Linked DNA regions of Tamandua tetradactyla. Each later gene encodes a partner of the first gene's protein in a complex. Links are inferred from orthologs where the notes say so. Each region holds a gene or a part of one and is shown on either strand. Other genes may lie near its edges.

Region 1 (15,967 bases):
CGTGACAGCAGGGCGTGGCTAAGCCAGTTAGGGCTCATCCCGACAATGGGATACCACAAAGCCATTAAACATCACATTGGAACAGAGTATTTGTTGACACAAGAAAATGTTCATAGCATTATTTAAAAACAAATGAGGCCACGAGAATGTAAGAGAGTGTTCTGGGGATATACTTTTATATATTTACCTGTGTGTGCGTGGATATAAGTTGCATGCACAGGTGAGTAGACAGGCATCAGCATCCAGAAGAATGCACACCAAAACACCAACTCTGGTGGTCTTTAGATAATGGAACTATATGCAATGAATTTTTGTTTTGCTTCCATTATGCTTTTCTGTTTTCCAGGTTTGTTTTGTGGCACTGAATACATCTTACTTGTGAAATGAAGGAGGAGATGCTATCAAAGAATGAGCTCTTTAACCAGTCCCTCAAATCCTTTTTGTGAAATGAGGTGAGGAAATGCATCGATAGTCTAAATGCCCATGTACAGCTGATGGGGACAGGTGGGCAGGGGAGCAGGGGAGGGCTTCACTCTTGTGGCTCCTCCACTATGGACTGTGGGCTTATCCTAACCTTCTCAGGCAGATTTCCTGGGGTTCTGTCCCACTTCTGGGTGACTCCCCATTCCTAGCCATCCTGGGTTGTCCTCCTTGAGCAGACAGCTGACTGAGGCACTGATGCTGTGCTATGTCCTCCCTAATTCCTGGCTGGGCCCAGGGTTGGGACATCCTGGGCGTAACAGAGCCTGCAAAGCCACCTGCTCCCCAGCCCTGGTCCCCGAACTTCCTGCCCCACACCCCACCAGCTGAGGCTCACCATGATGCAGTTGGGCTTGTTGATGGACCACAGGTTGACCCGGCAATCATCCCCGCCTGTAGCCAGCAGCCGCCCGGAGGCTTTGCCCAGCACCAGTGAAGACACATTGCTGGCATGGGCGACGATCTCCTCTGCATACCAAAGGGAGAGGGGGGCACAGTCAGGGGCCTCGGGGGACCATGCAGAGGAGTGGCAGCACCTTGCTGGGTTCCGCCAGCAGGAGGTACCTGCCCCTCTTCATCCCATTCAACCCCTCCTCAGTTGCTGGGGGACGCGCTGACAGGGCAGATCTTGGGCCTAAGTTGGAAATTTCTGTTTCTTAACTTCAGTCCTTCCTGACATAACTTAGACCTCATGCTTTTTTCCTTTTTGTGTCCATCAACTATAATATTAGTGACTTACTAATTTTTTAATTGACTTGCTATTTTTGCTTAGCTTTGTCTTAAGTAACAGTATCTGTGAAGTTACAAGTTTGATGTGTTCATTATACTTTTTCTACCACACAAAAAGAAAGCTGAAAAAAAAAACATTAAAAAATACTGACCTAAGCCTCTCAGATGCCATTCATTGGCTTTTGAATCTTGCTCTGGGAAAGAGACTTTAAGCATCATTCAACTCAGTGGTAGACAAGCTGTGACCAGGCAAGTTCACACTTGATGCTCGTGTGAGCTTGGATGAATCACTCATCCTGTGTGTGCCAGTGTCCTCCTCTGTTAAATGGGGACAGTAACAGTGCCTATCTCCCCAGATTGCTGTGGATTCACTAAGAATGTGCACAAGAGAAGGTACTCCATAGTCACAGACAAGCTGAGGACTTGTCACCAAGAGGGCTAATAGGCACTGGGCCCCTGGCAGGCACAGGGGGTTAGGCTGCATGAGCAGGAGGGCAGGAGGCAACAGACAAAGAGGTCTGAGGGTGAGAACTGACCAGGCCGAGCAGAAGATGAGGCCTTGGGGGAAACCACAAGGGGCCCTGGCATGGCCTGGGGAAAGGGGGGACAGCCTGAAATCTCAGGACCTCACCAAGGCTCTGAAGGGAACAAGGCATGGGCAAGGCGGGCCAGCCAGGCCCAGAGGGAATCTTCTTTTTTTTTTTTTCACATGGGCAGGCACCGAGAATCGAACCCGGGTCCTCTAGCATGGCAGGCAAGCATTCTTGCCTGCTGAGCCACCGTGGCCCACCCATCCCCAGAGGGAATTTTTACTGGGAACAAGGAAGACAAATCAGGTCTCTCCACATAGGGGAAAGCCCCAATGTGCTGACACCCAGGGGTAGCTGGGAGGCTGGCTGGTGTAACAGTGAGGGGAAGGTGTGGCAGCTGTTCCTCCCAGGGCCTTTCTGGCATCCCAGCTCCGTACTACCCCCTGCTTCAGACTGCAAGGAGGTTGAGAAACTCGACCTGGGACAGCTGCTTGCTAGGCAGCCTGGCTTGGAGGCTATGGAAAATGCCTGGGGAACCAGGCCCCAGATCTGACATCACAGATGACACCCCACCTCAGGGCCTAGCAACCCAGATCTGGCCACGGGCAGCACCAAGCCCCAGCCATAGGTCAGCCAGGTTTCAGAGACCCTGCCATTTGGTCCAAGGGAGCTGATTCCCTTGTACAGTCTCTACTGTGACCCACAGAGCCTTTTGTCTTCTTAAAAGTTTCTGCAGGGCCAAAGTGGCCACCTAATTCAGAGAGAGGGCAAACCGCCTTCTCACTGAGTTCCCTGCTACCACGCCTCAAGCCTTTCCCCTTCTCGGAAGCCACTCACCTACACAATACCGTTCCTCCATGACTGACCTAGAGGCCTGAGTATGTCCACCCTGGCTCTCACTCTTTCCAGGGAAATTCCTGCCTGGGACTTTTTCTCGCTGGACCTCCTTGGGCATAATGCTGCCCCTCTCTGGACCACAGGACCACTGCCCAGGAGACAGCCATTAGTTGATAATATAAACATTCCTGGGTGCCTCCTATGGGCCTAGCATTGGGAGACAGTGGGAATGAGAGAGCAAAGGTCCCTGCTTTCATGACACAGGTTATCAGATGGCTCCTGGGACAGGGCACCCAGTTCACAGAACCACAGATTTTAAGGTACGAAGAATTTGGAGGTTGAGTCTTTCTCAAACGGCCCAGACCACTACCCTCTAAGCAGCCTAACCAGCGACTGATTTGATGCCCATGGAAGGACCTGCGGGCACACCACAGATGCCAGGGAGAGGAGGCCCTAACACAGGACACTAGCCTGGTCTGAAGAACAGCAACCAGCGGTGGCCCAGGCCCCACACTGAATTTTAATACAAACAAATAAAATCCCCACAGGGTCTATTAGTGGCCCAGGTTGACGGCCATTGCTTCACACAGTGGTATAGGCCCACACATTTCCCAAATCCAGGTGACATAGTCTAGGTCCCACATCTCAGCCACAGCTGAGGAGCACTGTGTTTTGGCCAGAGATAATGAGGCCCTGCAATCCAAATTGAATTCAATGCTTCAATGAGCCCACACTGGCCAAGCACTCTCTTATCCTTAGCAGACCGCAGAGACACTGAGTCAGAGGTCATTTGCCCTTGGGCTCTTCAGAAAGTTTATACCCATGAAAACTGCTATGCAAATAAAATTTCAGCAGATGTCCAATATGTTTGACCATATTTAAACATGTATGCTTTGACTTTGCTTTAAGAGAAAGCAAAAGCCTCAGAAAGGCTGGGCCCCGTGGATGTGTGCCCTTGCAGACCTCGCCAGCCTCATATGGCACCATGTCCCCCAACCCCCATGGCTGTACTCCTTCTGGCCTTTCCAAGGCACTGAGCTTCCTGCCTCAGGGCCTTTACACATACTGTTCAGGCAGCTGACACCACTTGTCCATCTTGTTAACTGACTCAAAGCACATGTCCCAGCTTGGAATCAGATGAGATGGATGTGTCTGGTTATTTGACTCCCTGCCCCTCTCTCCATGCTCCAGGCTCCAGGCTCCCACTACACAGGCCTTGTTTCCACTGGCTCCCCAGTATCTGGCTGTGTTAGGGAAGCCCTGATGATTGAAGGGTCAGATACGTAATCCTGACAAGTGAAAAAACTATCTGTCCAAAGTGTACCCTCCTGCGAGGCCCAGAACAAGATTTGCGCCAAATCCTTAAGCTTTGGGGAGCAATCTATAAATGACCTAAACCTCTCATTTTACAAATGAGGAAACTAAGGCCCAGTAAAGAGCTTTGCTCAGGTGTGTGGTTAAAAGGTAGAGCCTTTCCCTGTGTCCTACTCTCCTTTCCTGCCCTGTAAGATAACGGGGAGGCTCTCAGGCTTTGTAAGGATATCAGGGCTCACGTGATGCTCCTGAAAACAGCCCAGAGACAGCTCACAGCATCACCCAGTGCTTGCTGGGCCTGGAGAGGGTGGTCAGGTTGGGCACTCCAAATCTCTGCTAGGCAGTTATTATGGGTGGGCCCACAGAGGTGCAAATGTATACAGTAGTAGCTCTCAAAGCCTGATGTGGGTCCTTTGGGGTCCTCAAACCCCTTTCAGAGGCTCATGAGGATAAACTATTTTCATACTACTACTAAGGTGTTATTTGCCTTTTGTATTGTCATTCCCTCATGAGCCTACACAGTGAAGTTTTCCAGAGCACACATGATAAATGATAAATGTTGTCTCTGTCACTAGTGGCATGTGATTGTGATTTTCAATTCCTCAGTGGTAATTTCTCACTAGTATGGTAAACATTGCTAGATATAACCCACATAAACAAAAGCTGTTTGGGATCCTTATTAATTTTTAAGAGCATAAAGGAGTTTGAGAACTGCTGGTACAGCGGAATATTAGGGGTGGGTGGACATGGCTGTTACATTCCAGAGCCCTGCCAGCAACCCCCTGCCCACCACACTATTCTCTTCTTGGCTAATCACCCCAAGCTGCCTTGACTTGGGAAATGTCTAAAAATGTCCAAGAACATTGTTCAGGATTTCTCAACCCTTCCTACTTTTCCTAACTGGAAATCCTTGGGTCCCTGAGAAAAGCAACTATCCTAATGAAGTACCTTCTAAGGGTTAGTCCTCACACTTAGTTCTTTATGCTTATTATCTCACTTGAACCTCACAACAAGTCTAGAATGCAGGTTTGATTCTCTCATTTACAGGTGAGGAAACTGAGCCCCAAAAAGGTTAAGTCACTTTTTCCAGTATCAGCCAGTCACAATCTGCATCTGATCTACTTATGCTAAGGCCTGAGGGTCTTTCCCCGGGCCAAGAAGAGCAGATGATGCAGCAGGTTTGAGCCACCCGGCAATAAAGGTCAAAGGGGTGAGAAAGGAGAAAGACAACTACTCACGCAGCTTCCAGGCTGTCTTGGTGACCACAGGGGTGGCCATCCTTCAGTGCCTGGCACCTGGAGCCCTACCCGTGAAACAGACCGTGCTGTTCTTATTGGGTGGGGGTAGCTCCCCCCCAGATCCGCGAATTAAGTTGGCAGGGAATTCCCATACATCCAGAGGGAATGTCTCAGCTCCCGGCTCAATGCCTCGTGGTTTTAAGCCATACACACAGCAATGACAACAGCAGCCTGTGAGCACTTGTTTGGATCCTGGATCACAGAATGTCAGGCTTGAGTCATCTTGGCTCAACACTGGGCTGGAATACAAACAGAGGAGGTGGCTTGTTAGGAAACACTCAGTGGGAGCTCAGTATGGGTGAACCCAGGATTGCAGAGGGGCAGAGCGACTAGAGCCAGGAACTGCACCACAAATTGGGTTTGAGAATCTGCACATCAGGCAGGGTGACTGGGAACACAGGGGAAAAAGAAGGTCCTCCCCGAGGCCAGGATGATGGGAGGTGGCTGTGCTCTAGGATGCTGGCTGCCGGAAGTGTAGCAGCCTCAGCTGGGCAGGGAAGACCACATGCCTGCAGTTTAGATAGATTTCTGGGAGTCATGGTTCTGCCTGACGTCTGGGAAAGTGGGTGGAGTCCAAGGCTAAGCTTTGCAGGGGCCCATGAGAGGCACCCCAGAGACAGGCATTGTGGCCCCTTCTAGGGAGGATCTTGGAAGACAGCCCTGATGATCCAACCTCCCAGTTCATGGCAAGGGAATCACGCCTACTTCCTGTAATTCCCAAGGACAGTGCTGGGGGTCGCGGGGTGGGGGTAGACCTCCAGGCACTGAACCTGAAAAAGACTCCTCAACTCTTAAAAGGGGACGTCTGGGGGCCTACTACCATCTCCCTCACAGCCACCTCACCTCTTTCCCACGAGGCCTCTCTCAACCCGCTTGCTTCTGGGGCTCCAGTACCGCCTCCCTAGCCCTCCGTTCCCTTCCCGGCTGTCCGTATCTCCCATTCCTGTACATGTGGTCTCCTGGGCCCCCTAACTTGGCCCCTGCCTCGCCAGGGCTCCTTTATTTTTCTGTCCCCTTTGCTATCAGCATTTCCCATTCATTCTCTCGCTTGCTTCTTTGGTGCCCGTTCATTACCTATCTTCCTGCGGAACCCCAGCTCTACCTCCGGACTCCCTGGCTTTTCCCTCCGGCCTGCACGCCGGCCCCGCTACTTCCTAGGCTGGGGCTGGTCCCTCTGCCTCGCCTGATCCTCCTACCCCTCTGAGCTTGCCGAGCATGGGCTCCAGCCTCCCACCGCCCGGGCCCCCGTCCGCCACCGTCCGGCCTGGCCCGGCCCCGCCTCGCTTGGCCCAGCCCCAGGCCCATCATCCCCTCGCCTCCTCGCCTCCTCGCCTCCTCGCCCGCTCGCCGGCTGGCTCACTCCACCTGCAGCTGCGGCTCGGGAAGATGAGGCACTGCTCCAGGCGCGACCCCCACTTGCCTCCATCCCCTATCCTGATTGGCCGCTGCTTGACAACCGACCCTCACAACAAAACCTCCGGGCCAGAGCCCCGCCCTCCGCCCATCCTGCACCAATCATCCGCCGCGCGCGCTCCACCTCCCGGCAGGTGTGACCAATCGAAGCAGGCGCTTCTGCCGCTTTTCCTAAATGCCCGCCTTCTTTCCCTGAATTGGACTAATCACGAGGAAGGAGCGTTCAAGAGCCGCCCCTCTGCCTCTAATGAACCAATGTGGGAGCTCATTCCCTTGGTCCCGCCTCCGCCGCAAGCTTTCTCTTCCCTCCCCCTTTCCTTCGCGGCTTCAAACCTAATTTGCCTTGAACGCTCTGCGAGACGCCCTCCAATGGCGGCTGCGCCAAAACCCAAATAGTTTGACCAATCATTGTCCGCATTATTGGAAAAACCAGTTCCCAACTAACCAATGGGAAGGGGACTTTGGGAGTAGCGTGAAGCCTCGGACCTTCCATCTTGGAGTGGGGCGAAACGGGATCCTGGCCTTAGTCAGCATTTTGTCCTGGCGCCTGTTTCTTCCTGGAGCCCTCAGGAGGTATCTGCATAGTCTGAGGGCTTTGCCTTCCCTTTTCTGACCCGGACTCCGGCTTGAATAAATCCCCGGTAGCGGGATGGGGACAGAGTCTGATTCCGGGTCCGAGTCAGGTGCGGAGGGTCGAAGTGCGGCCCCCGCCACCGCCGGGGCCGGGGGAAGGGATGATAGGGGCAAGTGGCTGCACCCTTCAGAGGACAACAGACTAGAATCCGAGAGAGGCCGACTTCATTTGTGACTCCTTAGGTGGGGCGGGGTTCGAGAAGGATCCGGGGCGCTTAGGAGGAACTTGGCCCCACAAGCCTGTGTCGCGTGGCTGGCCCCATCTGAGTTGAGAGGGTGGCCCAGTCGTCCGGGGCTCAGCGCCTTAAGACCCTCGAACCTCCGCGTTAATCCTTCTGTTGCTGCAGATAGGGTCTGTTTGCGCTCACACAACAACCCTAAGGAGTAGGGATTCCTGTTTGCACTCTCAGATGGGCAAACAGGTCCAGGTTAAGGTCCTTATAAAAGGCCACTTGACCGAAATGTAATGGCGTCAGGGTTTGAACCACCGTATTGCACTTCACCGTCTCTGCCAAAGATTTTTGGTTCTACCTCTCCCATTGTACTCAGACCTTGGGAGCGAGAATGGTTCCTATTAAAAGAGGACTGTATGAACAGAATCACGTTCTATCAAAACCGTCTGTCTTGCATTTCCCCTCAACCTTTAAAAAATTTTTTTTTGTTGATAAGCAACATACAACACAAACATTCGTAATTATACAGACGTTCCACACATGATGTACAATCAGTGGCTCACAATACCATTACATAGTAGTATATTCATCACCATGATCATTTTGTAGAAGATTTGCATCACTCCAGGAAGAGGAAAAAATTCATACATTACATGCTCCTTATCCTTCCCTCTCAGGGACTACTAGTGTTTCCATGTACCCAATATATTTTAGCCTTTGTGGCCAAGTGGTGGTACCTGTTTGTCTGGTTGGGCAAGTGCTGGCCTGTCTGTTGCTGTGAGGACATTTCATAGAATTAAATCATGACCACATCAGCTGCATCCACAGTTGATTACATTTGTAATCAGCGAAGAGAAATGTCTTCTGCCATGAGTGATACTTAATCTAATCACTGGAAGCCTTTTAAGGAGGATTCAGAAGAGACAGGCTTTCTTACTGCTTTGGCTGGTGAGCCTCTCTTGTGGAGTTTGTCCAGACCCTCCATCGGAATTGTCAGATTTTGGACTCTACGTTCCCTACAGATTTTGGGCTCTACGTTCCCACGGTTACGTGAGACACTTATAAGTTTTATATTTACGAATATTTTCTGTTGATTCTGTTTCTCTAGAGAACCCTAACTAATACAACTTGGTACCAGGAATGGTTCTTAAGAAACAGAACCTTAAAAATGGGTTTTTATGAATGGTTTTCTACCCTGACTGGACTCAAAGGGACTAAGAACTCTGAGTCCCATAATCAGAATGACACTGCCAATCCATGGAGTGAATTGGCAAAAGAGATAGTCAAAATATCACCATACGATTCTTCTGGTGCTTCGGCTGTACAAAGCCAGGCTCTGGAGGATAATGATTTTGACACCTTTATGGAGTTTTGTAGAAATAGGAGGCATAGAGATGTTGGCTAGTTGTTGTTAGATACACTGGATACATTAAGGAGTGAAAGGGATGGGCTTAAGGTTTCAAGTGAGAAGCTTAAGCACCATCTGACAGATGTAGAAGTTTCTATGAGTGTCCTGAAGGAAAATCTTATTTCCTGTAGGCGTAGACTTGAGATCTCTAAAAATCAGACTCAGAATCTTATTGTTAGAGTAGCAGCTTTACAACCTAAACTGAAATCTCAATCTTGTATGGTGTCTGATATTAAAGTGAGGGCATTGATTGGAAAGGAGTGGGACACTGAAAAATGGGATGGCGACATATGGATTGATAATCATGTCAGTGGTGAGTTAGAAACCCTAGGTTATGCTGAGTCTTATCTAGATAACCCTGTAATAGTCTTCCCTGAGGACATGGCCGCCCCACCTCCAGCTTGTTTTGAGGAGTTGGCCACTCAGCCTCCACCTGAAGGGATTAGCCCTAGAGTGATTAATCCTGTTTCATCAGATGAAACGGCGAATGAATGCCCTGAAGCAAATGGCTTGGAAGATATTTCTAATTCTTTTCATGACCCACCTCACCAACCCTCATTTCTTCCAGACCTGTAACTAGACTAAAGTCCCAAGAGGCCCCTAAAGGTGAGGTACAAAGTGTCGCACATGAGGAGGTACGTTATACTCCAAAAGAACTGTGTAAGTTTTCCAGTTTGCATAGGCAGAAATCAGGGGAATATGTGTCCAATGGATTTTAAGGGTGTGGGATAATGGTGGGAGGAATATAAGGCTGGATCAGGCTGAATTTATTGATATGGGCCCACTAAGTGGAGATTCTGCCTTCAGTGTTATAGCTAGAGGGGTGTTCTAGTTTGCTGGAATGCAATATACCAGGGATAGAATGCCTTCTTAAAAGGGGAATTTAATAAGTTGCTAGTTTACAGTTCTAAGGCTGAGAAAATGTTCCGATTAAAACAAGTCTATAGAAATGTCCAATCAAAGGCATTCAGGGAAAGATTGGTTCAAGGAGGCCAATAAAGTTCAAGGTTTCTCTCTCACGTGAGAAGGCACATGGTGAACACAGTAACAGTTTCTCTCTCAGCTGGAAGGGCACATGGTGAGCATGGCATCATCTGCTAGCTCTCTCTCCTGGCTTCCTGTTTCGTGAAGCTCCCTGGGAGACATTTTCCTTCTTCAACTCCAAAGTGCTGGCTAGTGGACTCTCTGCTTCGTGGTGCTGCAGCATTCTCTGCTGTCTGAATCTCTTTCATTCTCCAAAATGTTTCCTCTTTTATAGGACTCCAGAAGCTTATCAAGACCCACCCAGATGGGTGGAGACATGTCATCACCTAATCCAGTTTAACAACCACTCTTGATTAAAACACATTTCATCTGATTATAGTGTCAAACATGCAGTACTGTATAGGGATTATTCTGCCTTTATGGAATAGGATTTAGATTAAAACATGGCTTTTCTAGGGGACATACATCCTTTCAAACCAGCACAAGGGGTTAGAAAAGGCATTAACAGTTTGTTTGGATAGTTGGTCGAACATGGATCAAAAGGTGGCTGACATTACCTGAGGTTGAAGTGCCAGGACTGCCCTGGTATAATGTAGATGAGGGGATCCAGAGGCTTAGACAGTTTGGAATGTTAGAGTGAATTTATCATGCAAAGCCTGCTCGTACACCCCAGAAATGTCTGGAGGATGCACCTTTTACCAGAACAGTGAGAAATAAATTTGTGAGACTAGTGCCATCATCTCTGAAGAGCTCAATAGTACCATTTCTCTGTAGGTCAGATATTACTGTGGACACTGCTGTCACTGAGCTGGAATCCTTAAACACAATGAGGATGACTGGATCCCGAGTTGGCAGAAGCCAGGTGGCAGCACTTAATCGCCAAAGACAGGTGGACATGGCTATTATAATAGACAGCAAACTCAAAGCAGGAGTCGAAATAATCTGACTCACATAGATCTGTGCCATTGGCTAGTAAATCATGGGGTACCTAGAAATGCAATAGATGGTCAGTCTACTAAATTCTTGTTTGAGCTGTATAAATAAAAGAGTTCTAGGTCAAGTGAACAGAAGCCTAACCTGAATTACAAAAACACAGAGTCACAGCCCCTTAAGCAATTACCAGACTTGAGACAGTTTACAGACCCAGAGCCCCATGAATGAAGGGGAGGCCAGGTTTCTTTGGGGGAGAACCCTGTTACACTGACACAAATTTATGCTGTTAATCTTCCTCCAAACCTTCCCCAAGGAGACCGATGGCCTTTTACCAGGGTAGGTGTGCATTGGGGAAAAGGAAATGATCAGATATTTCGGGGATTGTTAGAACACTGGTTCAGAAGTGACATTAATTCCAGGGGACCCAAAACATCACTCTGGTCTACCAGTCAGAGTGGGGGCTTATGGAGGCCAGGTGATTGATGGAGTTTTATCTCAAGTCCATCTCACAGTGGGTCCAGTGGGCCCCCGGACCCATTCTGTAGTTATTTCCCTAGTTCCAGAATGTATAATTGGAATAGACCTTCTGAGCAACTGGCAGAATCCCCACATTGGCTCTCTAACTCGTGCAATGAGGGTTATTGTGGTGGGAAGGGCCAAGTGGAAGCCACTATAACTGCCCCTACCTAACAAAATAGTAAATCAGAAGCAGTACCAGATTCCTGGAGGGATTGCAGAAATTACTGCCACTCTTAAGGATTTGAAGGATGCAGGGGGGTGATTCTCACCACATCCCCATTCAACTCTCCTATTTGGCCTGTGCAAAAAACAGATGGGTCTTGGAGGATGACAGTGGATTATTGTAAGCTCAACCAGATGGTAACTCCAATTGCAGCTGCTGTTCCCGATATGGTATCATTGCTTGAGCAAATCAGTACATCCTCTGGTACCTAGTATGCAGCTACTGATCTGGCAAATGCTTTTTTCTCAATAGCTGTTAGTAAGGACCACCAGAAACACTTTGCTTTCAGCTGTCAATGTCAGCAATATACTTTCACTGTCCTACCTCAGGGGTATATCAACTCTCCAGCCCTATGTCATAATCTTGTCCACAGGGACCTTGATCATTTCTCCCTCCCACAAGACATCGCACTGGTCCATTATATTGATGATATCACGTTGATTGGACCTAGTGAGCAAGAAGTAGCAACTACTTGAGACTTATTGGTAAGGCATTTGCATGTCAGAGGATGGGAGATATATCCAACAAAAATACAGGGGCTTTCCACCTCAGTGAAATCTCTAGGTGTTCTAAGTTGCTAGCTGCTGGAATGCAATATACCAGAAATGAAATGGCTTTTAAAAGGGGGGATTTAATAAATTGCTAGTTTATAGTTCTAAGGCCGAGAAAATGTCCCAGTTAAAACAAGTCTATAGAAATGTCCAATCAAAGGCATCCATGCAGGGAAAGATAACTTGGTTCAAGAAGGCCAATGAAGTTCAGGGTTTCTCTCTCAAGTGAGAAGGCACATGGTGAACACAGTCAGGGCGTCTCTCTCGTTTGGAAAGGCACATGGTGAACATGGTGTCATCTGCTAGCTTCTTCTGGCTTCCTGTTCCATGAAGCTCCCCGGGAGGCATTTTCCTTCTTCATCTCCAAAGGTCACTGGCTGGTGGACTCTGCTTCTTGTGGCTATGTTATTCTGCTTTGCCTTCTCTGAATCTCTCATTCTCCAAAATGTTTCCTCTTTTATAGGACTCCAGGAACTTATCAAGACCCACCCAAATGGAGGAGAGATACCTCCAGCTAATTCAGTTTAAAAAACACTCTTGATTGAATCTCATCTCCAGGGAGATGATCTGATTACAGTTTCAAACATACAGTATTGAATAGGGGTTATTCTACCTTTATGAAATGGGGTTTAGATTAAAACATGGCTTTTCTAAGGGACATACATCCTTTCAAACCAGCACAAGGGGTTAGAAAAGGCATTAATTGTTTGGATAGTTGGTTGAACTTGGATCAAAAGGTGGCTGACATTACCTGAGGTTGAAGTGCCAGGACTGCCCTGGTATAACGTAGATGAGGGGATCCAGAGGCTTAGAGAGTTTGGAATGTTAGATGGATTTTTATAAGCTTGGGAGTGGGTCTTGATAAGCTTCTGGAGTCCTATAAAAGAGGAAATGTCCAGTGGTGTGGGGCATGTCGAGATATCCCTTCTAAGGTGAAGGATAAATCACTGCATCTGACCCCTCCTACGATCAAAAAAGAGGCACAATGCCTAGTTGGTCTCTTTGGATTTTGGAGAGAACATATTCCTCATTTAGGTGTGCTACTCTGGCCCATTTATCTAGTGACCAGAAAAGCTGCTAATTTTGAGTGGGGACCTGAACCAAGAGGAGGCTCTGCAACAGCTCCAAGCTGTTGTACAAACTGCTCTGCCACTTGGACCATATGATCCAGCAGATCCAATGGTGCTGGAAGTGTCAGTTGCAAATAGAGATGCTGTCTGGAGCCTTTGGCAGGCCCCTATAGGGGAATCACAACGCAGACCCTTAGGATTTTGGAGCAAAGCCTTACCATCTGCTGCAGATAATTACTCTCCTTTTGAGAAACAGCTTTTGGCCTGCTATTGGGCCTTAGTAGAGACTGAATGCTAAAACCATGGGCCACCAAGTTACGATACCTGAGTTGCCTATCATGAGCTGTGTGTTGTCTGACCCACCAAGCCATATGGCGTGTGCAGGAGCACTCTATTGTAAAATGGAAATGGTATATACAAGATAGGGCCAGAGCAGGTCTTGAAGGCACAAGTAAGTTACACGAAGGAGTGGCCCAAACACCCGTGGTCTCCACTCCTGCCATATTATCTTCTCTTTCCCAGACCAGAGCTATGGCCTCTTGGGGAGTTCCTTACAGTGAATTGACTGAGGAAGAGAAAACTCGGGCCTGGTTTACAGATGGTTCAGCATGATATACAGGTACCACCCAAAGTGGACAGCTGCAGCATTCTACCCCCTTTCTGTGGTGTTCTTGAAGGACAGTGGTGAGGCAAAATCTTCCCTTTGGGCGGAACTTCGAGCAGTGCTCCTGGTTGTTCATTTTGCTTGGAAGGAAAACTGGCCAGAGGTGCATTTCTCTGACTCATGGGCTGTTGCTAATGGTTTGGCTGGATGGTCAGGGACTTGGAAAGACCATAATTGGAAAATTGGTGACAAAGAGGTCTGGGGAAGAAGTATGTGGATAGACCTTTCTGAGTGGGCTAAAAACATGAAGATATTTGTGTACCATGTGAATGTGCACTAGAGGGTAACTTCAGCAAAGGAAGATTTAATAATCAAGTGGATATGATGACCCGTTCTGTGGATACCTGTCAGCCTCTTTCCCCAGCAATTCCTGTCATTGCCCAATGGGCTTATGAACAAAGTGGTCATGGTGGTAGGGATGGAGGTTATGCATGGGCTCAGTAACATGGACTTTTGTTCACCAAGGCTGAGCTGGCTACAGCCACTACTGAGTGTACAATCTGACAGCAGCAAAGACCACACTCAGCCCCTGATATGGCACCATTCCCCGAGGTGACCAGCCGGCTACATGGTGGCAGGTTGATTACATTGCTCCCTTCATGGAAGGGGCAATGATTCGTTCTAACTGGAATAGACACATACTCTGGATATGGGTTTACTTTCCTTGCACGCAATGCTTCTGCCAAAACTACCATCCGTGAGCTTACAGAATGCCTTATCCATCGTCATAGTATTCCTTACAGCTTTGCTTCTGATCAGGGACCACACTTAACAGCAAATGAAGTGCAGGAATGGGCACATGCTCATGAAATTCTCTGGTCTTATCATGTTCCCCATCATCCAGAAGCAGCTAGATTGATAGAATGGTGGAATGGCCTTTTGAAGATTCAATTACAGTTCCATCTAGGTGGCAGTACCTTGAAGGGCTGGGGTAATGTTCTCCAGGAAGCTGTATATGCTGTCAATCAGCGTCTGCTGTATGGTGTTATTTCTCCCATAGCCAGGATCCACGGGTCCAGGATCCAAGGGGTGGAAATGGGAGTGGCACCACTCACTATTACCCCTAGTGATCCTTTAGGAAAAGTTTTGCTTCCTGTTCCTGTGATCCTGAGCTCTGCTAGTCTACAGGTTTTAGTTCCAAAAGGGGGAGTGCTTCCACCAGGAGAAACAACAATGATTCCATTGAACGGAATCTAAGACTGCCACCTGGTCACTTTGGGGTACTCATGCCCCTGGATCAACAAGCCAAGAAGGGGATGTGCTAGTTTGAAAGGATGTATGTCCCCTAAAAAAGCAATGTTTTAATCAAGATCCCATTTCATAAAGGTGGAATAATCCCCATTCAATACTGTATGTAATTAGATCATCTCCTTGGAGATGGAACCCAATCAAGCATGGTGGTTAAACTGGATTGAGGGGAATGTGTCTCCACCCGTTTGGGTGGGTCTTGATTAGTTTCTGAAGTCCTATAAAAGAGGAAACATTTTAGAGAATGAGAGATTCAGAGAGAGCAGAGAAGAACAACATAGCCACAAGAAGCAGGGAGCAGTGACCTTTGGAGATGAAGAATTAAAACACCTCCTGGGGAGCTTCACAAAACAGGAAGCCAGGAGAGAAAGCTAGCAGATGACGTGGTGTTCGCCACATGCCTTTCCAGATGAGAGAGAAGCCTTCGCTCTGTTCGCCATGTGTCTTCTCTCTTGAGAGAGAGACCCTGAACTTCATCAGCCTTCTTGAACCAAGGTATCTTACCCTGAATGCCTTAGATTGGACATTTCTATAGACTTGTTTTAACTGGGACATTTTCTCAGCCTTAGAATTGTAAACTAACAATTTATTAAATTCCCCTTTTTAAAAGCCATTCCATTTCTGGTATATTGCATTCCGGCAGCTAGCAAACTAGAACCGGGGATTTCATTATTGACTGGGGTGATTGATCCTGACTATCAGGGGAAATAGGACTACAGCTACACAATGGAGGTAAAGAAGAGTTTTTCTGGAATATAGGAGATCCCCTAGGGCGTCTTTTAGTACTACCATGCCCTGTGATTAAAATCAATGGAAAACTGCAACAACCCAATCCAGGCAGGACTACCAATGGCTCTGAAACTTCAGGAATGAAGATTTGGGTCACCTTACCATGCAAAGAACCACGGCCAGCTGAAGTGCTTGCTGAGGGTAAAGGGAACATGGAATGTAGTAGAAGAA
Region 2 (16,714 bases), on another chromosome or scaffold:
TTTGATGAGGTTTTCCATGTCTGTTCGAACATTCTGAATTAATTGTTTCAATTCCTGTATCTCATTTGTTCCATTGACTGGGCCATATCTTCAGTTTTCCTAGCATGATTCATTATTTTTTGCTGGTGTCTAGGCACTTAATTACCTTAATTAGTTTATTCTAGAGATTGCTTTCACTTTTTTTACCTAAGATTTTCTTGCTGGATGACTTTGTTGTCTATCTGTTCTTTGACATTCAGTTCAGCTTATTTTGGACCTCTAGCTTAGGTTTTGTTTAACAGATCAGAATTTTTCCGTTCTTGTTTTCTTGTTTCTTGCCCTGTTTTGTACAGTACCTTTTTCCCCCCTTAGGAGGGTCTACTTAGGTATTATAGACCCCAGCGAGATTCTCTCAGACCAAACTCGTGTCCTTTAGGAGGAAAGAGTCATCTACATCAGTATTCCCTGAGGGTGAGACCAAGCAGATTGAAAGGCTTTCCTATAAAGCCTCTGGGCTCTCTGTTTTTCCTATCCTGCCCAGTATGGGGCACTTGTCTGCCTGTAGGTCCCACCAGTATAAAGTAATGCTGTACCTTTATCTTCAGCAAACTCTCCCTGCTGGGGGCTTGGTTGAGATAGAGGAGAGGTTGCAGGCCAGCTCTAATTGCTTCACTTTTCCAGACCCTGGGTTCTGAAGTTTTGAGGGGGGGGGGGGGTGATTCCAAATGAGCTGGGCCCCATCCCTCTCCCATGGAAAGCACAGGCTCCAGACAAACACTCAAACAAGCTTAATTCTGCCTATGCCTGGGGCAATTGGAGCCTGAAGCCTTGCAGCTGTATCCAAAGGGTACTCAAGCCGTAGAAACACAGCCACAAAAAATAAAGAGAAAGATCCTTTTCAGAGCAGGACCTCATTCCTCATGTTTGCCAATCAAGAGATCATAATCTCTTGCCAAATCAAGAGATTATGTTGTTTTGTGTACCTTCAGGGCATATGTGCCCCCTCCTTTCCTTCAGGGCCAGACCCTTTCAAGTATTATGTGCTATCTGATCTCAAAAACCTCTGTTTCTTTTTTTCTTCTTTCTTTTTCCATCAGCCCTGCCCTCTCTGTGCCAGGGCAAAAACTGGCACCCTCTGCTTTGACTGGAGGTTCAGCTGAGCTGGGGGTCTATTTTTAGTAGTTAAAATTTTAAAATTAATCCCACAATTGGAGCTTGGTTGTGCTCAGCACCTGCTGCAGGTAAAGTCTCTTTCCTTTCCCCTCTGGGAAGCAGCCTGTAGGGGAAAGGCCCCAGCCTCCATGGCTTGGGGTCTCATGGTTCTGAGTGGGCTTGCAGCCAGCCCAGATGGTCCAGACTGGGGTACACTGTGTGTCTGGTCACTGTCATAGCCACAGCTGTTGTTCTGTACTGTTCCTGGCTTTTTCTATCTGCTCTGGAGGATGAACTAAATCCCACACCTCGCTAAGCCACCATCTTGGCCCTCTCTCCCCTTGTTTGTTGATCATTCCATTCTTGATATATAATCAATAACTCACAGTATCATCACATACTTGTATATTCATTATCATGATCATTTCTGAGGACATTTGCATCAATTCAGAAAAAGAAATAAAAAGAAAACACAAAAAATTTCATACATACCATACCCCTTACCCTTCCTTTTCATTGATCACTAGCATTTCAATCTACTAAATTTATTTCAATATTTGTTTCCTGTTCTAGTTTGCTAGCTGCCAGAATGCAATATACCACAAACAGAACAGCTTTTAAAAGGGGGATTTAATAAAGTTGCTAGTTTACAGTTCTAAAACTGAGAAAATGTCCCAATTAAAGCAAATCTATAGAAATGTCCAATGAAAGGCATCCAGGGAAAGATACCTTGGTTCAAGAAGGCCGATGAAGTTCAGGGTTTCTCTCTCAAGTGAGACGACAGATGGCAAACACGGTCAGGGTTTCTCTCTCAGCTAGAAGGACACATGGTGAACAGGCATCATCTGCTAGCTTCCTCTCCTGGCTTCCTGTTCATGAAGCTCCTTGAGAGGCATTTTCCTTCTGCATCTCCAAAGCACTGGCTGGTGGACTCTGCACTTCGTGGTGCTGCAGCATTCTCTGCTCTCTCTGAATGTCCTTGCTTTCTCTCTTGCCATTCTCTTTTACAGGATTACAGTAAAATAATCAAGACCCACCCAAATGGGTGGAGACATGTTTCCACCTAATCCAGTTTAAGAACCACTCTTGATTGAGTCACATCTCCAGGGAGATGACCTAATTACAGTTTCAAACATACAGACATACAGTACTGAATAGGGATTAGAAGAAATGGCTGCCTTTACAAAATGGGATTAGCTTTAAAACATGGGTTTCTAGGGTACATACATCCTTTCAAACCAGCACATTCCACTTATTATTTATTTTTAATCAATGTGTTTTATTAAGCTGTTGATAAGGTAGATAAAAGGAGTATCAGACACAAGGTGTTCACAATCACACTGTCTCTTTGTGAAAGCTTTATCATTATACAATCTTCTTCAAGAAACATGGCTACTAAACACAGGTCTACATTTTCAGGAAGTTCCTTATAGCCTCTTCATTACGCCTTAACTGAAAAGGTGATATCTATTTAATGCATAAGAATAACCTCCAGGATAACCTCTCAACTCTGTTTGGAATCTCTTAGCCATTGACACTTTATTTAGTCTCATTTCACTCTTCCCCCTTTTAGTTGAGAAGGTTTTCTTAATCCCTTGATATTGAGTCCCAGCTCATTCTAGGATTTCTGTTCCACGTTTCCAGGAAGGTCGACACCCCAGGAGTCAAGTCTCACATAGAGAGGGGGAGGGCAGTAAGCTTGCTTGTCATGTTGGCTGAGAGAGAGAGAGGCCATATCTGTGCAACAAAAGAGGTTCTATGGGGATGACTCTTAGGCCTGATTTTAAGTAGGCTTAGCCTATCCTTTGCAGGGTTAAGTTTTATATGAACAAACCCCAAGAGTGAGGGCTCAGCCTATTGCTTTGGTTGTCCCCACTGCTTGTGAGAATATCAAGAATTCTCCACTTGGGAGACTTGCGGGTCAAGATGGCGGCTTAACAACGTGCGCATTTTAGCTCGTCCTCCAGAACAACTACTAAATAACCAGAAACAGTACAGAACAACTCCTGGAGCCACGATAGTGACCGGACACACAGTGTACCCCAGTCTGGACCAGTTGGACTGGCTGCGAGCACCCCCCAGAACCGTGAGTTCCCAAAGCTGCGGCGGCCAGCACCCCTCCCCCACAGGCCACTTCCCAGAGGGGAAAGTAAAGGACTTTACCAGCAGCAGGGACTGGGCACAATCAAATGCCAATTGTGGAACTAATTAACAAATTCTGAATATTAAAGTTTAAAAATCCCTTACCTATTACAAGCTCCTGACATTATTAACATTTATGTTTTCTTCTAAAAGTTTTATAGTTTAGTCCATACGTTTAGGTCATTGATCAGTTTTTGCTGTTGTTTAAGTGAATCCACTGAAACTTTATATATAATTTCCAGTTTATTAGAAATATAGGAGATAAATAAGCATGATAAATGATAGAGCAGGGAAACAAATCCAGAAAATAGGATATTGAGGACAACAACATGGTCTCTTTAACAAGTCAGTGTTATGAAAACAAACACTAACAGCAAATAAACAACCACCACCAACAATAACAAAAGAGACTCAACAGCCAGAACTATGTTGAATCCTGGAATAGATATTGGTTTTGGCAAACCAGCTGTGAAGGACATTGATGAGTCTATTAGATAAATTTGTGATTATTAAATCAGAGGAAATGCAACTTGACTGAAAAAACAGATTGTAGAATAGTATGTACAGTAATGGCCTCATTTTTACAAAATATAAAAGTATACATGCGGTGGAGACATAGGGCCCAGGCTCCCTCCACCCCCAATCCCCTATCCAGACTGATAAGTTACTACACATTACCTACAATGACCAGAACAGAATATGTACATTTGTAAACTAATAACTGCCCATTGTAAAAGCCAACCCATTTCTAGTATACTACATTCAGGCAGCTTGAGCAAACAAATAGCATATCTTTTTCAAGTGCAATAAAAGTTACCCCAAATACAAATTTTCATGCTTTAGTTGATAGGTAAACTAATCAATGGCCTTGACATAACTTAAGTAATCTCAGCAGTGCTAAGACCTTCAGGCTAAAAATGGCTAAAACCCTTAAAAATTCCGTCTGTAATAGCAAAAAATCTTCCAACTATTCCCTTTCGCCAAACTGTATCAATTTTTGGAGGGGTGGGGGGACTTACAAGGTATTTTCATGTAACTCCCTTATAACCTAGGCAGGAAAACAAATACTTCAAAGTAATTGGAAGTCAAACTGCTCTCAGTTATCAAAACAATGAAATGACAAAACAAAACAGAAGCTCTAGGGTAATCCTTTGTTCATCCTAAGAGTGGGCCTGTATATTTAGGGCAGGTATGTATGAATATCACTGATTAAAAAATTTTAACTCATATTTGGCTTGTTCATATTTGTTCACTTGAATACTATATTTTATTTATTTATTTTTTGAATAATTTATTTTAAATTATAATCCAAGGTTCTTTTTTAACTTTTTCTTATTGTGGGATTTAACATATATACAAAAAAGCAATGAATTTCCAAATACATTTTTTTCTTTTTATTTTATTTTTTTAAATACCAAAAAAACATCAAACATTCCTTTTTTGATCATTCTGTTCTACATATATAATCAGTAATTCACAGTATCATCACATAGTTGCATATTCATCATCATGATCCAAATATATTTTAACAAGTAGTTATAGAACAGAGTTTAAAGTTTAGCATGGGTTACAGTTCCACAATTCTTTGTTTTTTCTTCTAGTTGCTCCAAGTCACTGAAAACCAAAATAAATATCAATGTAATGATTCAGTAGTCATACTCATTTGTTAAATCCTATTTGTGTTATACTCCTCCTAGTCTTTTTGTGAAAAATTACACATGCAAAAATGCAATTAGTTGTAGAACAGATTTCAGAGTTTTGTATGGACTACAACTCCACAATTTTAGGTTTTGACTTCTAGCTGCTCTAAGGTACTAGAGAATAAAAGAATTATCAGCAGTCCTATTCATTTGTTAAGCCCTAACTTCTCTGTATAACTCTACCACCACCTTTGATCTTTCTTTCACTCTTTAGGGACATTTGGCCTATGTCCATTCTAACTTTTTCATGTTGGAAGGGGCTATCATGATATGGAATAGGGGGATGGAACTAGTTGATGTTCTGGAGAGGCTGGTCCCTGCATTTTGGGACTTACTTGGTCCAGAGACCATCTGGATACTTCCCTTTTTTTTTTTTTTTCTAGGCTTTTGTTTTAATTTCCTAGGCTGCTCAAGAAAATACCATGAAATGGCTGGGTTTAAACAATAGGAAATTATTCACTCACAGTTTGAGGCTGGGAAAAAGTCCAAATCAAGGCATCATTGAGATGATGTTTTCTTTCTGAAGACTGTGGCATTCTAGGGCTGGCTGCTGGTGATCTTTGATCCTGTGTCACATGACAAGGGGCATGTTGGCCTCTCCTGGACTCTTTGTTCTTTTGGGGGTTCTGTTTAATTTTAACTTCTTGCTTATATAGATTTCTCTCAGACTGAATTTCACTCCACTTATAAAGGACTCTAGTAATAAGACTATTATTTAAGACCCATCCTATTGGGTTAGGACACACTCTGAAGTAATGTCATCATTAATCCACAGGAATGAATTAAATTTTAAGAACGTGCTTTCTTGGGCACCTGCAATTTCAAACACCATAGCTTTTTATATGGAGTTGTGCTGGTTTGAAAATGCACCCCCAAAAGGCCATGTCCTTTAATCCTGATTCAATATTATAGGGTGGAAATCTTTGATTAGATTGTTTCCATGGAAATTGACCCACTCATTTGTGGTATGACCTTTTGATTAGATTACTCCCTGGAGATATGACATGCCCAATTGTAAGTGTGGTCTTTTGATTCAAGGTGAGGTCTTGATTAGTTTACTGGAGTCCTTTAAAAGGGAAGACATTTTGGAGAAAACACCATTGTTTCAGAGCTGACAGAGATGCAGACATTTGGAAGATGTTGACAGAGAGAGGTGCCTAGACATAGATGTCTGGAGATGCAGAGCTCAGCAGACATTGCTATGAACCCAGAGTTGTGACCTGGAGGAACTAAATAAAGGCCCATAGACACTTAGAGAAGAAAGCACTGGAATCAGAATCTGGAAGCAAAGGAACTGGGAACAAGGACCACAGTCACCAGCCACATGCCTTTCCACATGGCAGACATCATCTTTCCTTGAGTCAAGGTATCTTTTTCTGGACACCTTAGTTTGGACATTTAATGCCCTTAAAACTGCAAATTTGTAACCTAATAAATGCCATTTTTAAAAGCCATTCCATTTCTGGTATATTGCATTCTGGCAACATTAACAAACTAAAAACGGGTACATGCAATTTCAACTACCACAGCTTTTTATAGTTTTGATTGTTACATTTAGGTCTTTGATCCAGTTTTAGTTGATTTTTGTATATAGGGTAAGGTTAGGGGTCCAGCTTCATTCTTTTGAATACGGATTTCCAGGTTTCCCAGTACCATCAGATGAAGAGACTATTCTTTCCCAGTTAAGCAGGCTTAGCACCCTTGTTAAAAATCAGTTGGCCATAGATGTGAATGTTTATTTCTGAACTCTCAATTTGATTCCATTGGTCTATTTGTACCATGCTCTTGTGATTACTGTTAACTGTGTAATAAGTTTTAAAACTAGGAAGTGTGAATCTTCCAACCAATAAGGGTGGTACACAAATATTGTTTTCCCTTCACAACACACTGTAGAGTTGAACATCCCTATCCCTCTGAATTTAAGCTTGGCCACATGACTTTCTCTGGTCAATGAAATGTGAGCAGAGTGGCTTGTGTCACATCCAAGCAGAAGCTCTACAATTATCTAATTCTCTGTTTTCCACTACCACAGGTCCCAATGCCTACATCCCATCTTTTGTTGACATTTAGAATGAATGAGAAAAAAAAAATCCTGTTTTTTGAAATCTTCAATTTAGGGGTTGCTACAGCAGAGCCTTGCCTTCCCTGAGCAGTACAACTAATGAAGAAAAGGAAGTACTGAATGTAAGGCACTCTGTGGAGAAGGTTTTTTTTTTAACCTCAAAAACCAATAATGAGGTATAATTTACATAAAATAGTTTATATGTACTGTGTAGATGAGGTTTTTTAAACTTTTTTATTGTATAATATATATACAAAACAAAGAAAGAAAAAAGCAATAGTTTTCAAAGCACTCTTTAATAAATAGTTACAGGACAGATCCCAGAGTTTGTCATGAGCTACCATACCATCATCTCAGATTTTTCCTTCTAGCTATTCCAGAACATTGGCTAGAAGAAATATATATTTTTTTATTATCACTTTTTTCTTTCTCTTTTGTAAAAATAACATACATACAAAAAAGCAATAAATGTCAAAGCACAGCACAAGAATTAATTATAGAACAGATTTCAGAGTCTGGTATGGGTTACAATTCCACAATTTTAGGTTTTTACTTCTAGCTGCTCTAAGATAATGGAGACTAAAAGAAATATAATGATTCAGCAATCATACTCCTTTATTAAACCCTACCTTCTCTGTGTAACTCCCCCATCACCTTTGATCTTTCTCCCACTTTTTAAGGATATTTGGCCTATGCTCATTCTAATTTTTTCACATTGGAAGGCTTGTCAATAATAAGGGGTAGGGAGATAGAATTAGCTGATGTTCTGGAAAGGCTGGCCTCTGTAGGTTTCAGGACTTATCTGCTCCAGGGACCCATTTGGACGTTGTAGGTTTTCAGAAAGTTATCCTAGGGCATGGAATTTTTGTAGAATCTTATATATTACCCTAGGTGTTCTTTAGGATTGGCTGGAATGGTTTTGGTTGGGGGTTGGCAAGTCATGATAGGTAGCAATGTCTAACTGAAATTTGCATAAGAGCAGCCTCTTGACAATTTTAACACTCTCAGCCATTGATACTTTGTTACACTTCTTTTCCCCCTTTTGGTCAGGATGGCATTGTTGATCCCATGGTGCCAGGGCAAGGCTCATCCCTGTGGGTCATCTCCCATGCTGCCAGGAAGATTTTCACCCATGAATGTCATGTCCCACATAGGGAGGAGGGCAATGATTTCACTTGCAGAGTTGGGCTTAGAAAGACTGAGGCCACATCTGAGCAACAAAAGAGGTCCTCCAGAAGTAACTCTTGGGCATGCCTATACATAGTCAAAGCTTCTTCACTACCTACATAAGCTTCAGAAGAGTAAGCCTGAAGATCAAGAGCTTGGCCTATTGATTTTAGTATCCCTAATCTTTGACACAGTATCAGGGATTTCCTCAGTAGTAAAGTTTAATAGTTTCATATTTTTTCCCATCCCTCAAGGGACTTCACCAATACTTTCTGATTATCTGCTTAATATATTCTGGGACATATCCAGGTATCACATTAAGCTATACCGGATTAAAGGACCTCATTTTATTCTGGGCTCCCTGTGTTTTGATTATTTAAATGAACTATCTAGACTGGGTTGAGTTAGATTATGTGCTACATAAAATTTAGGTTCTGGACAAAAACTTCTCTCCCTTTGGTCTCAAAGAGTAGGTGAAGTTCTAAAATATAGACAATAAATTTTAATAAATACTAATGGTTGTGTAGCCACTACCTTAATCAAGGCATCTCAGAGGCTTCCTCATGCCTCTTTTCAGTCAATCTTTACCGCCCACTCCAACTTCTCAATTCAACCCCAGGCACAACTACTCATTTACTTTCCGTTAGTACAGTGTTGGTTGTTCTATCATTTTATATAAATGGAATCATACTATATGTATCCATTCTTTACCGTTAGAGAAATTTTGAGATTATAAATTGGCATTATAAATTAGCCTACCTCTGCATTCATATAAAAAGTGAAGGTTGAATCCAGCCTAATTAGGGTAATTAATCTATACCTCCCTGAATTTTTTTTATTATAAAGACATACTAGATATAGTTTCCTGTGCTTTAGTATAATAGCCTTCATACCCAGCATAACAAAACTATTATTTTCTACTTATCTGAGAATTTTTCAAGACTTTAGCCCCCAGGAATTTTTCCTTTTTTTTTTTTTTTTTTTTTAACAGCGTAACCAGTGCCTAATATGTCTGGCATAGTATTGGTTCAGTAAATATTTGCGGAATAAATGGATGCATTTCCTGTGAATTGCTTCTATACAAATCTATATTAAATTACTGCAATCCTTTAATAGAAACTTAAGCACCATGTACTCCTAAAGGGTAAGTGCCCTATTCGTTTAAGATAGGGATGGTGTGTGGAATTTGAAGCTGAAGGAAGGCAGCAGCATTGCCGAGTACACGGTGTCTCTAAATCCTATTGTGTTGTTGTAAAACCATTACATAAGGACAAGCAAGGAAGAAAATTAAAATTCTGAAACAGGCTGTGCGAAGGTCTATGTTGGCACCCCTGTAGCCCCTGCAACAAGGGCCCTAGCCCGGGAATCCTGAGAACTGGCTCTAAAGCATGACTTCTCATAAACCCTCGTTCGCTCAGGACAGGCTTCTATCCCTAAAGCACTTACCCTTTAGGACTACTGCCCAGCGCTCCGCCTCCGAGCCGGGTCTCGGGCTTCCAGCTTCAGCCTGGAGGAAGAGGTACGAGATTGCGCAGACGCACCTCACCATCTCGCCCCTGCCGGTCCCGCCCAACCGCCGGCCGTCTAGTCCCGCGCAGTCTGCGTCCTACGCAAGCGCGCGTACGTCTACTGGCCCATCCCTCTCTTCACGGTTCTCGCGCTTCACCGGCGCGCACACGTCTCCAGGTGCCTCTGTTCCCAAGGCGTTGCTTCGCGTGCGTTGGAGTCGTCACCGCTGCCATCGGGGCCGGAAGTGACCGTGGCGTGTTCGCCGTCAATTTCTCGGCGTGCTCCAGTAGCGGTTGGGGGTGGCGGCAGTTGGAGTGGGCAGTGCGGGTTCCAGCGCGGGCGGTGGGGCCGGGTGCCTCCTTCGTCGACGGGAGCCCGGTTGGACCTGCCCCGACGGTTGGCGGTGGGCGGTGTAGTTCGGAGCCGCCTTACAGGTGAGTGCCGGGTCTCCGGACAGTCCTGAGGGCAGGCCGGGAGCGGAGGTGGGTACCGCCGCGCACTCTGTCGTCAACTGCGGCGCCCGCGCAGGGGCGCGGGTACTCGCTTTTGTTGCCGACACCTGTAGCTCAGGTGAGGCTCCTGTCTAAGGAATCTCGTCCATCCAGGACGAGATCCAGGGCGCTTTCGGGAATTCCTGCGGCTCCCACCTGTGGACCTGTGTCTGTAGAGGCGTCCCTGGCCGAGAGAACCTGTCATTATTCCCTCATTGTTTTGATTGGTCCTCGCTCGTATCCGTTCCCTTGAAAGTCTTGACACTGGAATTCAGCGTCCGTTCTTACATTTTGTGATATCTGTGCAATATTGTTGAGGGTGTTATTTAGTTCGTTCTAGAGCCGGTCTTCCTCAGGGAGGCTAATGACTTTTTGTTTAGAGTTGGGTACCTTTTACAAAACTTACACATCAAAATACTGTTTCATTCAGCATATTATATGGTGACGAAGTTAGGGATAAACATGGATCTTTATGTGCGTTCTAATGGATAATCTTAAACTCTATTTAATAAAAAAAATAGCTCCCTTATTTAACTGCGAAGTGCCACTTTTATAAATTACTAATTTCTTACAGCACCGTGATACACCCTTCTTATTGAAGAACTGTTTTATGTTTTCCTCTTTGAAATCAGTCTCTTAGTTACTCTTGAAACATTCTTGAAGAATGTGGGCCATGGACCTTTTCCACGCAGTCACGATGATAGAACGCTATGGAGTCAAGAAAGTTTCTCGTAGTGTTCATACTGCCCTAAATGTGTCAGAACGCAGTTCTGTTTCATTTTCCAGTGGATGTGGTTTTTGTAATCAGTGAGTCCGTACACAAAGAAATAGCGACAGAACTCTTTGTCTTGTATTAACAGTGCTATTTTGTGACACATACCGTGCCTTTAAAAAAAAAGACAGTGCCTATCTACTTTTCAGTATTCCTAGATTATGAAAAGCTATGTTAAACTTCTTTGTGGGGTTGGTTATTCAAGAAGCTTTTACAATTACAGAGTCAATACTAAGGCATTCTATGTAAGATAACGTCAAAGTCTGCATCTTTCTTTGAAAATTTTTTTCTATTCTGACATACTGAGGATTAGAGAATTTTTTTTCTTTATTTCAAAAATATGGAATGCTTCAGGAATTTGCGTGTCATCCTTGCTCAGGGGCCATGCTAATCTTCTCTGAATGGTTCCAATTTTAGTATATGTGCTGCCGAATCGAGGATTAGAGAATGTTGACTTGCTTTTTACAACAGTGTGTGCATTTATTGTTTTGTTTTGTTTTGTTTTAGCTTCTCAGCTGTTTAAAAAAAATAGCCTGTGAAACCAAAATGATCAGAGTTGATAAGGTGTTAAATAGATTTTGCTTGTGGCACTTATTGTTGTGACTTTTTTTTTTTTTTTTTTTTTTTTTTTTTTTTTAAAGGAAAGACAGAGAGAAGGAAGGAAGGATAGAAGGAAGGAAGGAAGGAAGAAAGGGAAACATTTTTAAACATTTTCTTGTTTTATTGTATTCTGTTTCTCCGTTTTTTGTTACATGGGCTGGGGCCGGGAATCGAACCGAGGTCCTCCGGCATAGCAGGCAAGCACTTTGCCCGCTGAGCCACCGCGGCCCGCCCTGTTGTGACTTTTAAATTACATTTTAAATTCTCCACTCATTGATTTATTTTTATTTTGTTCAAGGTAAACTGGAAATTATCAGTTGTCCTTCTTTTGCAGGAAAATTTATCAAATACATACATAGTAGACTTAATATGTAATTTTGTTTTCTGACCAGGTTTCCTTTTGATGCTTTTTTAGTAGTAATAATTTGCTCATGCTTGAGTAATTTATCATTTGATATAAAGGTAAGAAAAATGTGTGACGTTACAATGGGTCATGAGCCATTCATTTATTGTGCTTATTTAGTCATTAGATTGAATTTACATTACCTTATGGTTGCTTTCATATCCCAGAGATGAACATTCTGAAAATTTCTCACCAGCGAATTGCCTCTTTTAAAATTACACACTTGGTTTACTGAACCAAGTGCCTTCCCGAAGTGCCTTCGGGAAGATGCAAGATTGAGTTTAATGATATGTTTTTGTTTCAGGAAAACAGGTTTAAATATTTTAAAAACATTTCAAGCTTCCAACATTGATGTTATCTCTTCAGCCTGTGTTTAGTAATGTTCTCCTTTTTACTAAGCAAAAAAAAAGAACACCTAGAGTAAATAATCTCCCTTCCACTAACCTTCAAGATTTCAAGGTTTAATTCTTTCTTATTTATTTTTGTCTTAAGTGCAATTTCTTGCAACTCAGTTGGTGCTCCTTAAATATTTCTTGAATGAATGACGTATACACATTATGATAAAAACTGGTGGATAAGTGGAACTTGGCCTAAGATTCCATAGAAAATTAAGTGGGTATATTATCCTTTTTGGATATGAAATAGGGGAGGGCCTTACATTTGTTGTTTTAAGAGAGAATGTGAATCTTAGAACTTGAGTAGTTTGATCTGTTCTGTGTTCTTTTTCAGTCTCTTTAATCACTTATTCCCAGTCCTAGAGGAGAAAAAAGCATTTTAAGTCTCATTTTGGAGACCCACATGACATCACATATCACATTTGTTAGAAATTTTGCTGTAAAATTGAGTCCTTAGTACTTAATTATAGAAATTTGACTGCTACCTTAATTAAAATTGTTTTGCATCTTGTTTAGTTTAAATGAAAGTAGTAATTAGCTAAATCATAAATCCTCAAGGTATATAAGCAAAAAGGGTGGTTCTTATTGAATATGGTAAAGAACAGCTTGCTGTATGATAAAGTGGGCATAGTGTGTGGGTTTTTTCTCCCTAATTTTTGTAATCACTAATCTAAATTTTTGGAAATACAATTTTTTATGTGTACTATTAATGTTGAACCAATAGCTAATGTTTACAGTTCATGGTGGTTAAAATTTGGTTTATCAACTTTTCTTTAAACATGTTCATTTCTTCATATATTGGGAGGTATTGTGCTCGTTAGGCCCATTTTTGTCCTGTGGTGTAATTTTATGGATGTAAGGACATATTCTTATTCATAGGAGAATTGCATAAATTTACAGTGTTGATATTCATTTGAGAAGGATGTCTTGGGGTAGAGGCTACTAAAGGAATACGGAAAATTATTTTTGGCTAACATTTGGGAACTAAGGGTGCTTTGTGATTATTTTCAGGAGACACATTGTTACTTTTACAACCAGTAATTTTTCAGGTCAGTTGATTATATGGCCTTGGATTGACTTTACATTTTCATTTGTTAGAAAATGTCAATTGTCTAAGGATTTATCCAGCAAGAAAGAGAAATTCATAACATAGAACCTTTGAAGAAAACTTGAAGTGCCTTTGGGGCCATTGATCTGTGGCTTTCAAACAAAAAACCTGAGAACCATCTGTTTATCACAATTTAATTAAGTGGATTTTTTGTTTTTAAACGTGGGGAAAGGAGAGAAGTATATGGAGAGAGTCTCTTAAGCAAAGAGGAAGAGGGAGAAAAGACTTGAGAGGCCTAATATCCAAGCCCATCCAGATCAGCATCTGGCCCCATTTATATGCTTCGAATACTGTTTCTGAAACTAGGTGTCACTGTAGGGCATGATGACTTCAGGGCAGAACTAATTATGCAGGAGTGAAGCCATAATCCAGCTTTTTGGGAGATGAGTTGAGGATCAAGGAATGTGAGAATGCTGAGAGGAAATGGAGAAAGGTAAGAAGTCTTAGTTTAAGACAAAAACTTAAAAAGTATTTATTCACTCACAAATTTATTGAGTATCTGCTGTATGCGCAGCATGATTCTATGCCAAGCTGGGCTAGAACAGTGAATAATAGAAAGACATGGTCCCTGACCATGAAGTTTTTATTCTAATGGAGTATTTGTCATTGTCCAGGACTCCAGGGAGGCACTATGTAGCCTATGGGAATTTTTTCTTTTTGTTTTGGACCTCAGATGCCAGACTTGAGTTATTATGGAACTCAGTTAATATTATTGCTACTTACCAATTAGACCCAAATTTCATGGCTTAAACAACAAATATTTATTATCTCATAGTTTGTTGGGTCAGGAATCTGGGCAAGACTTGCTGGGTGTCTCTGACTCAGGGTCTCCCACAAGGCTGTAAGCAAGTGCTGTAGTTGTCTCAAGGCTCAACTGGGGAGGATCTGCTTCCAAGCTCACTCACATGGTTGTTGATAGGATTCAGTTCCTCATGGGCTTTTGGAGTGAATACCTCAGTTTCTCACTGGTTATTGGCCTGAGGCCTCCCTCAGTTCTGTGCCATGTGAGTCTTTGTGCAGAACAGCTCGCAACATGTTAGTTGGTCTTAGAGCATGCCAGCCAGAGAGGGTGAGCACAAATTAATCTTAGAAATGACAATTCATTATTTTTCATGTTTCAAATGTTAGATGCCCACATTCAAGATAAAAACCAGAAGTCGAGGCTCATTGAAAGACATCCTAGAAGCTCCTTGTCATTATCTATGGATATAAGGCCCTTCTCCTGTATTTTTTTTTTGTCACCATCCCTCCCAGTTTGCTTTCTTCACTCACTTTCCCCCATAGACACTCATATATTTAATATATGTTGTTGGGTACATAGCATCCTTAAAAAAGGAGTGTTTTATATAGCATATTCATTTTTAATTTATAAAATGATACTGAGATTTAGATCTTGTTCTAATATTTTTTACATCCAATCCTTTATTTTGATAATCTCTCCATGTTGCTATTTGTAAATTGTTCATTCCTTCCGTCCGCTACGTTGTATTCAATAGTATGCATCTACCATATTTTCTTGTCTATTCCCCTAGCAGGGAATATAGTTAAATTGCCTCCAACTCCTTGATTTTTCTAATAGTTTTGTCATTAGCATCCAAATATAAATTCCTTTATTAATCTGTGTGAGACTTTAGAATATTGACAGAAGAGTAGGATTGCTGAGTCATAGAGTATATGCATAATTTCCCTAAATACTGACAAATTGCACTCTTAACATGACTCTAACAGTTTGTACTCACAGATTCTATGTGAGGGTTTCCTTTTCTGCTCAGAACTTGACAATACTTATCATTAGACTTTTTTTTTTTAACCTGGTAAATGTAAAAAAGGGATCTCACTGCTTTGATTTAGATTAATAAATTCCCAGTGTCTATACTTGTTAGCTATTTGGGTTTTCCTTTCTTTGTGAATTGCACTTTATGCTTTACCTTTTTTTGTGTAAAAGTCCTGTTGTCCATTAGTGTGAGGAGTTACAAGGATGGGTTTTCTTATATTAATTCACCCTTGCATTCCTGAGATAAACTTGTCTTGATTTCGGTGTGTGTATATGTTTTTTCTCTTTGTCTGTGTTTGCATGTGGTTTTTCTTTTGATCCAGAAATTGAACCTGGGTCTCCGGCATGGCAGGTGAAAATTCTGCCACAGAGCCACTGTTGCACGGCCCATTTCCATATGTTTTTTTTTTTTTTATTAATTAACGGAAAAAAAGAAATTAACCCAACATTTAGAAATCATACCATTCTACATATGCAATCAGTAATTCTTAACATCATCACATAGCTGTATGATCATCGTTTCTTAGTACATTTGCATCGGTTTAGAAGAATTAGCAACACAACAGAAAAAGATATAGAATGTTAATATAGAGAAAAAAATAAAAGTAATAATAATAGTAAAAAAAAAAAACCTATAGCTCAGATGCAGCTTCATTCAGTGTTTTAACATGATTACTTTACAATTAGGTATTATTGTGCTGTCCATTTTTGAGTTTTTGTATCTAGTCCTGTTGCACAGTCTGTATCCCTTCAGCTCCAATTACCCATTATCTTACCCTGTTTCTAACTCCTGCTGGACTCTGTTACCAATGACATATTCCAAGTTTATTCTCGAATGTCGGTTCAGATCAGTGGCACCATACAGTATTTGTCCTTTAGTTTTTGGCTAGACTCACTCAGCATAATGTTCTCTAGGTCCATCCATGTTATTACATGCTTCATAAGTTTATCCTGTCTTAAAGCTGCATAATATTCCATCGTATGTATATACCACAGTTTGTTTAGCCACTCTTCTGTTGATGGACATTTTGGCTGTTTCCATCTCTTTGCAATTGTAAATAATGCTGCTATAAACATTGGTGTGCAAATGTCCGTTTGTGTCTTTGCCCTTAAGTCCTTTGAGTAGATACCGAGCAACGGTATTGCTGGGTCATATGGCAATTCTGTATTCAGCTTTTTGAGGAACCGCCACACTGCCTTCCACAGTGGCTGCACCATTTGACATTCCCACCAACAGTGGATAAGTGTGCCTCTTTCTCCGCATCCTCTCCAGCACTTGTCATTTTCTGTTTTGTTGATAATGGCCATTCTGGTGGGTGTGAGATGATATCTCATTGTGGTTTTGATTTGCATTGCTCTAATGGCCAGGGACATTGAGCATCTCTTCATGTGCCTTTTGGCCATCCGTATTTCCTCTTCTGGTAGGTGTCTGTTCAAGTCTATTTCCCATTTTGTAATTG

Evidence for each region.
Region 2: the proteins of KATNB1 (region 1) and KATNA1 are in contact, whole or in part, in a crystal structure (PDB 5OW5), measured with the Mus musculus proteins. The link is inferred for Tamandua tetradactyla from reciprocal best matches to the Homo sapiens genes KATNB1 and KATNA1. Residues at the interface, in NP_083081.2 of Mus musculus: Leu485, Val486, Asp487, Glu488, Ala490, Met491, Gln493, Ile494, Arg495, Gly497, His498, Met501, Phe502, Val504, Leu505, Thr506, Arg508, His509, Leu512, Asp513, Val515, Arg516, Trp519, Thr521, Asp542, Leu543, Ile546, Gln549, Lys550, Leu553; in NP_035965.2 of Mus musculus: Leu5, Gln6, Ile8, Val9, Val12, Arg16, Ala19, Leu20, Leu21, Gly22, Tyr24, Tyr31, Tyr41, Leu50, Lys53, Trp54, Gln56, Val57, Glu60, Ile61, Val63, Glu64, Gln67, Val68, Asp70, Ile71, Thr74, Leu75, Ser77, Phe78.

What each region holds. Positions count from the first base shown.
Region 1 is NC_135342.1:51,443,086-51,459,052, reverse strand, and holds the start of KATNB1 (katanin p80 WD40 repeat-containing subunit B1), read right to left. Parts: upstream 7,359-15,967; 5' UTR 7,088-7,358; intron 6,969-7,087; exon of another isoform or gene 6,935-6,968; intron 6,693-6,934; exon of another isoform or gene 6,505-6,692; intron 6,408-6,504; exon of another isoform or gene 6,385-6,407; intron 5,428-6,384; 5' UTR 5,169-5,427; coding exon 5,129-5,168; intron 949-5,128; coding exon 818-948; intron 1-817.
Region 2 is NC_135328.1:141,151,434-141,168,147, reverse strand, and holds the start of KATNA1 (katanin p60 ATPase-containing subunit A1), read left to right. Parts: upstream 1-9,830; 5' UTR 9,831-10,145; intron 10,146-10,149; exon of another isoform or gene 10,150-10,193; intron 10,194-10,256; exon of another isoform or gene 10,257-10,281; intron 10,282-11,308; exon of another isoform or gene 11,309-11,415; intron 11,416-16,714. UniProt on the Homo sapiens protein: Catalytic subunit of a complex which severs microtubules in an ATP-dependent manner. Microtubule severing may promote rapid reorganization of cellular microtubule arrays and the release of microtubules from the centrosome following nucleation.